Linked DNA regions of Drosophila melanogaster. The protein of the gene in region 1 interacts with the protein of each later gene in a pairwise test. Each region holds a gene or a part of one and is shown on either strand. Other genes may lie near its edges.

The links.
Region 2: the proteins of Slc25A46a (region 1) and CG4537 interact in a two-hybrid assay, tested with the Drosophila melanogaster proteins (one large-scale study listed by BioGRID).

The regions. Positions count from the first base shown.
Region 1 is NC_004354.4:15,981,814-15,986,238, reverse strand, and holds Slc25A46a (solute carrier family 25 member 46a), read right to left. Parts: upstream 2,468-4,425; 5' UTR 2,320-2,467; coding exon 2,288-2,319; intron 2,226-2,287; coding exon 2,112-2,225; intron 2,049-2,111; coding exon 1,701-2,048; intron 1,646-1,700; coding exon 874-1,645; 3' UTR 834-873; downstream 1-833. Other genes in the region: ND-20 (NADH dehydrogenase (ubiquinone) 20 kDa subunit), read left to right, coding at 1-228; Cep164 (centrosomal protein 164), read left to right, coding at 3,719-3,875, 4,389-4,425.
Region 2 is NT_033779.5:9,889,184-9,892,060, reverse strand, and holds CG4537 (uncharacterized protein), read right to left. Parts: upstream 1,177-2,877; 5' UTR 1,152-1,176; coding exon 988-1,151; intron 929-987; coding exon 799-928; 3' UTR 725-798; downstream 1-724. Other genes in the region: mtDNA-helicase (mitochondrial DNA helicase), read left to right, coding at 1-710; CG34183 (uncharacterized protein), read left to right, coding at 1,321-1,349, 1,408-1,519, 1,578-1,675, 1,739-1,931; Fkbp59 (FK506-binding protein 59kD), read right to left, coding at 2,071-2,184, 2,292-2,429, 2,491-2,601, 2,656-2,877.

The DNA.
Region 1 (4,425 bases):
GACCAAATGCCCGAGCCACGTTGGGTCATCTCCATGGGCAGCTGTGCCAACGGCGGCGGCTACTACCATTACTCGTACTCCGTCGTCCGTGGCTGCGATAGGATAATCCCCGTCGACATATACGTACCCGGTTGTCCGCCAACCGCCGAGGCGCTCATGTACGGCGTTTTGCAGCTGCAGAAGAAGGTTAAGCGGATGAAGACGCTCCAGATGTGGTATAGGAAGTAAGGCAACGATCGGAACTTATATTTAAAATGTGAAACATCAAACGACATACGATTTTGCGAACAGAAATCATATTAAATATCGTTCTGTTAACGTTCAGTTGTTGTATACATTGTTTGTTGGATCACGAGGATATTGCAAATAAATGCCTTTCGATATAAATACAAACATTCAAGCTGTGCTTCTGTATCCAAACGTCAGCTTGAATCGTACGTGTGTTTGCCAACGGTCGTAATGAAAATCGTGAATTCGAAAAAAGTTTTGTTTCCCTTCAAAATGAGCGTGAAGTTAACGGCTCCTTCCTCTTTTTTTTATCGTGAATTGTATACACAACCATATCATTTAGTTGTCATAGAAACGATCGCACCAACCACAGGACAATCTGCTGTTTTTACTTAATTTTTCTGTATTCATTTCAAGGTCCTGACGTTTTCGGGACACAAAGTGCAAGAATATAAGCTCAGTTTAAAGTGTTTAAAATAGTTATATTTTTTAATTGGCAGATTTTTTTTTAACGCAACTGCAGAGTAAGCAAACCCTTAAAATACAATTATTCATGCTAACGTCCCAATAAACCCAACGAAAAATACAAAAAGAAATAAATATTTGTATAATTTACATATGCAATATAATTTGACTAGCCATTAACTAGTCTTGTGAATTCTGCCCAAGACTAATCTCCCCCATTTCGGTACTGGAAAGGCTTGGCGACAAGGTCGTGGACCTGGAGTTGCAAGCATTCTCATCCAGATTATAGTAATTCACTATTCGCTGTGGTGGTCGGTTGGAGATGACCTCTACGATTTGATTCACAACCCATTTGGTCAATTTGATGACGGCCACGTGTGCCGCAAACTGCAGGATCATGGCTCCAAAGCCCTTGTAGAGGCCACTAACTCCCTCGGAGACAATCGTTGTCTGATAGCAATCGACGACTCCTTGATAGTTTGTTAGAATGGGTACGACATCGTAGCCATTGTCGAGGTTGTCGATTATAGTTCGTGTTCCCTGCAATTGCAGACGGTGTAGAATCGTTTCGAACGGGAAGAACATGACCTCAGTGGTTATGATAGCAATAAGGCTGGCATAGATGTCCGCATTCTGTTGTTCCAGCGTGGTGTCCTGATACTTTCCACCCTGGCCGTCCTGGGAATTCTTTATACGAAGCCGCATTATGCGTGAGGACACGCCCCGTATCACGAGATTAAACAGATACTTGGTGATGCCAAAGGAGACACTTGGCCCGATTAGAGCCCAGGCTGGTAGCATACGGCCCTTTTGCGGAGAGCTCCAATAAAACAAGCGCAGACTTCCCTCCCGGAATACATCGAATAGACCGGGTTTCTCGCTGGCAATATCACTCTGCACCGTTTCGACGAGAGAAGCTGCATAGAAGGGCACCACCAGGCCGATACTTATGCTGTGAATTGAAAAGGAATAAGAGAATGGTCGAGATTAGGGTGTCAAGTGGGTACCATTTGAGCAGGAGATGCTGTCCGAAACGCTTTAGCGTGGTGCGACTATTCACATCCTTGGGCCAGCTGGTCACCTTCGAGATAAAGTCGTCGATGGCCAGCGTCATGCCGCGCACCAGTAGGCAGCTGCCCACGCCCTTCCACAGGGTCGTCAGTCCCTGCCTTCTGTGCAGGTGGACGATGCTGGGCAGAAGCTGAAAGGGATGCAAATGATAGCGTCTCGAGGCATTGTACACCTGGCACTGGCGGCGCAGCACCACAAACGGATGGCTAAGCAGGTTCTCGGTGACCAGGGAGACCCACTGTACGCCGACGACGTCCACAATCGCCTTCTCGCGCTCTTCAAGGCTGATTAATGGGAATTTATATAATTTAACAAATGAATTGATTTCGGATTCATTTCGGATGTACCTGCTTCCCAAGTGTTTGCTAGGGCCATAGGTCACGGGTAAATGTTGATCCCGGTCCCCAGTCCGATGCTCCTTGCCCAGGTGATCATCGTGCGTTTCATACTCCGCTTGAAATCTATAAATGGATGATGTTTATTAGTATGGCATCGTGATTATATATTATACCATTTTACATACTTTAGGCTAGAGTACTCATTCATTCCCGCCATAACTTTTCGTCTTCTTTGCTAGTTGGATATTTATATTATTAACTATTTTCAGGCAGGACTGGGTGGTGTTTTAAACATAATATCCAATTGTTTTGAAGTATAATTGGAACAATCCTATGGTAATTACCGAAACAAAAGGTCTTACTAATTTTGGTTTGGTATTAAAGCTTTCGGTGCGTTTCCACAGCGTCACATCTTATCAAAATAAGTGAAATCATTATTTTCACACTCCTAGTTAAGCATTATCTATATGTTTGGATATATGTTTGAAAAATATGAATTTATGAATCAGTTGTTTTTATATTGTGCATAAAAATTAAACATGCAGTATGAAATTGGGAATTAAACTATATTAAATTAGTAAACTCTTTTAAACCCGCATAGAATTAAAAACCCCAATACTTGAGTAATACCGCTCATTAAGAACAGCTGTTTGAGTAATAAATCCTTTTTAATGTCGCTACAATGTATTTTAAACGAAACCTTTATAATACTCCTAATCAAATCATATGCCACCCATTTTGTACAATACCTTATGTTCATTTTTTTAAATATTACAGTCAATTCCATGAATTTTTATACTTTAGCTCTCCTGAAAAGAAAATTGAATACCTTAATTTATTAAAAATGCTTCAAAGCAAATTGAATACCTTAATTTATTAAAAACGCTTTAAAACCAATAGAATACCTTAATTTATTAAATATGCTTAAAAAGAGGGCATATTAAGCTTGTTAATCAGGATCCTGAAATATCATTTTTGGTAATTGTGCATAAAACAACATAGTTTTCTAAAGAAAACCCTTGAAACGCTAACGAAAAGGTAAGGGAATCTAAACGAAGGAATCAATTTTCATGTAAAACGAGCATAAGTGGAATTTGCCCGAAATAAGGACACACCACACCCTTATTTCTCAGGTGTTTTCCTGCGATAGTATAACGACAGTATTAAAACCATGGTATTTTCCTTTTGAGGCTCTGTTCGTCTGCTTTCGTGGTGGAAAGGACAGGGACCTGGAACCTGGGAGTCGTCGGGCTGCGCGGACACGCAAACTCGCTGCAATATCCTGTTGCCAACCAGATAATTGGCCAGCAACCCACGTTCGGAGCATGCTCCGACATGGACACACGCACATACTGAGTGGTATAGCGATGACTCAGTAGGTATTTGTATTTTCATTTTTAGGTCAAACTGCATCCGATTATTCTGGCATTTGCTCCGCTGTCGGCAGGACTCGCTAAGGAATAGTATGGAGAACTATGAATGTCAAATCCGAAAAGTATAACAATATATGCAAATATATTGAACGACACTTCGAGTACGGATAACTCCCGGAGCAACGAAAACGCTAGCTCCGCTCGAGTTTCTTCGGTTAGTGAAATCCAGTTAAAGTACCCATTATGACGACGACCAGCGTGTGCAAGAGGATCTCCTCGAGCACGGCGTCCGCTGAGTTAACCAAATCCCTCCCAGCCACACCATCATCATCATCCCAGGGCTCGTCGTCCGTCATCTGCGAGGAGGTTTTCGACGAGGCGTGTTTCCCCTCATCGGAGGGTAAGTTCCGTTGACTAGTTACCCCAATTGTGGGTGAGAGTATGTAATATCGGCTTTTCCGGTGAAAATTCACGTTTGGCAAGCAATTCGTTTGCCTCGAATCCAATAAAAAGTGATTTCTTACATGTGTATAACGATTGAGGTAGGCGTGTTGACCATTTGGAGCATATACATATGTTCTTAGGTATATACATATATATACATCAATGAAAGACATTTTTTATCCTGCAAAAATCAATTTTATTATATATTATATATTCAAGTTGAAAATAAAGAAGAAAATCAAAAGAATAGAAATTTAAAATTTTACAAAAAAATATATATGTATATAAAATAGGGTTATATACTAGTTTTTATCGTCTTTTTTTTATAGCCTGTAAAAATTACCAAACACATTTTCATCTCCTTCACTATGCTAAAACAATATATTGAGAGCATATTTCATTATTAATTGTTAAAAGTTGTGCAACAAATTTTTATTTAAATATGTATATACCATTTTTTCCTGCACAGAAATCAATGAGTATGCCTCCCTGATTGGAATCGATCC
Region 2 (2,877 bases), on another chromosome or scaffold:
CAATCCTCACAGGACCCACGGGTAGTGGAAAGACAACCTTTATGAGCGAGTACTCTCTGGATCTGGCCATGCAGGGCGTAAACACGCTGTGGGGCTCTTTTGAGATCCGAAACACCCGGCTGGCGGCCACCTTGCTTCGCCAGTATGTGGGCTACCCGTTGGACGACCGGTTGCATGAGTTTAACCACTGGGCAGCGGAGTTTGAGCGTTTGCCGCTATACTTTATGACCTTCCACGGACAGCAGCCCCTTAAGCCGGTTCTGGAAGCCATCGAGCATGCGTCGTATGTGCACGATGTGATGCACGTGATCATTGACAATCTGCAATTTATGATGGGCGTGTCCACATTTCGAGGCGACAAGTTCTTTGAACAGGACTCTATTATAGCTGCCTTTCGCTCCTTTGCCACCAAGCACAATGTACACGTGACACTCGTAATGCATCCGCGCAAGGAGCGGCAGGAGGACGAGCTGACCACCAGCTCGGTTTTCGGCACAGCAAAGGCCACCCAAGAAGCGGACAACGTGTTGATCATTCAAGACAAGAGGCTGACTTCTGTGCGGGGCAAGAAGTATCTCCAAATTGCCAAGAATCGTTATTCCGGCGACCTGGGCATCATGCCACTGGAATTCGACAAAGACGGCTTGAGCTACTCAACCCAGATCCAAAATGCCAAGCGAAAACGGGAAAAGACGCCATCCGAGAACTGATTAGTAAGGCATTTGTTGTACTATAGGTTATAATTATTCTGTTGTCTATGGTTAGTTTAGTCTTAAGTGCATCCTTTGATAAACTGCATCACGTTGAGCTCTGCTTGTAGTTCTTGGTGTTCATGATCTTCTTGCCGCACATGGCGCATATGGCCTTTTTGTAGGCGCACGCCTGGCAATAGTGCGAACCCATCTGGTGCACTTTCTGTCGGCAGATTCTGGATAATTAAAAATCAGATTAAGATATGCAGATGAATTCTTGAGGAGATTTCCCTACCGGCAAGGTGGTAAAGCAGTCCCTATGGGATTGTATCGCTCGCGGGCCGAGGATAAAGCCTTGTTCTCGTTGATTTTACGTCCTCCCGCAGGAGCTGTGCTCGTTCGCCAGGGATTGGGCGCTGAAACTTTGGAGAGCTTGGCCTCGCACTTCTCGCAAACCATTTTTGTTATCAATTCAATTTGTTTTTTATTTACGTTTTGCAAAAACAGAGTGACCATTCCATTGATATTAATATCGATTGTTTGCTACCGATTGACCGCATATTTCCCAACTAAGTGTCTATCGAAGGTTGTTATCGACCATCTCAATTGCAAATTTTGGAAGCGTAAAATGACTACAGAAAAAGGGGAGCAGTTGAGGTAAATTAAAATAAATACATATTCAATATCACTGAGTGAAGTACTCACTGTTTTCCAGACAACAACTGATAGCGGCGGTGGTAAAGAAACGAGCGGCGATTGCGAGAGCCCATGAAATCGTGGTGCGGCTTTTGGAGCCCGGAATACCGGAGCCCGAGTTCCTGTCCCTGGTAAAATAATGCAAATTAAAAGCTTGACGGGTAGACTAAGCATTTCCTGTACACGCAGCTCTGTGAGATTGGCCCCCCAAATTATTCAGACATAGTGGATGAGCGGGAAATAAACAAACTTTGCGGATATCCACTTTGTTCGACAGTTCTAGAAAAGTAAGTGTTCCAACAGAATCTAGAGGTTCTTCCAATAATTATCCTTTATAACTACTCTTTTAGCGTTCCCAAGCAAAAGTACAGTATCTCCGCTTCCAAAAACAAAGTATACGACATCACAGAACGCAAGAAATTCTGTTCCGGATACTGTTTTAAGGCCTCCGAATATATTAAGTCACAGGTGCCCACATCGCCATTGTGGCTGCGAGATAGGGAGACGAGACCCAGCTTTCAGCTGCTACCACGAAATACTTGACCATCGATATACATAGCTCTCAAAGCGTTTATATTTATTTCGTATAAGCATTAAGACCATTTCTTCATTACATTACTGGATTTTCGATGTGGGATTATAAACCCTAGGGAATATTTCTTAAAGCACTAGTCGATCTGAATTAGATCATGATTATATTGTCGCGCTCCAGCGTCAATTCTGCTTCGCGCTTGGCATCCTCTTCAGACCACTCTCCGCACTTGCTCAGCACGTCAGTTTCCCGCGGAGGTTCGGTCTAACAATCGGTGAAAAATTGGTGATTTCAAGGAACGCAGAAAACACGCGGAGGAACGATATAGAAATGTTGTACTTTATTTGAATTTATTCAGTTGTAGGCAATACCTCTTTGTCGTTGGCAGCCAGTTTGGTGAACATGTTGGCATAGAGTTTCTTCTCCTTGTTCTTGCTCTCTTTGAGTTTCTGCTTGCAGATGATCACTTGGTTGGCAGCCGCTTTGTTGCCAGGCTCCAATTGGATGACCTAATCGAATAAATAGCAATACATTGTATTAACTCAATAAATATACGTTTATCTTGGTTACCTTTTGGAAGTCCTCTAGTGCATCTTCCAGCTCATTGATAGTCAAGTTGCATTGGCCACGACGGTAGAGAGCCTTTACATTGTTCTTATCCAAAGCCAAAACCTCATTACACTAATATAAAATAGTCAAATGTATAAATTATCCGATTTGAGCGCATGTACTCACCTCCTGCTTGGCTTCGAAGTGATCGTTGGACTTTTGGTGGCACAGAGCAATGTTGCTGTGCGTGGCCACCTTAATCTTCTTCACCTCCTCATTGGTATGGACAGTGGTGGGCAAAATGTTCTTGCACTTGGTGTACATCTTAATGGCTAGAGCCCAGTTCTCCTTCTTAAAGTAGTTGGTGCCCTTCTCCTTGTACACCTTGGCCTCAGCCAGGCGCTCCTC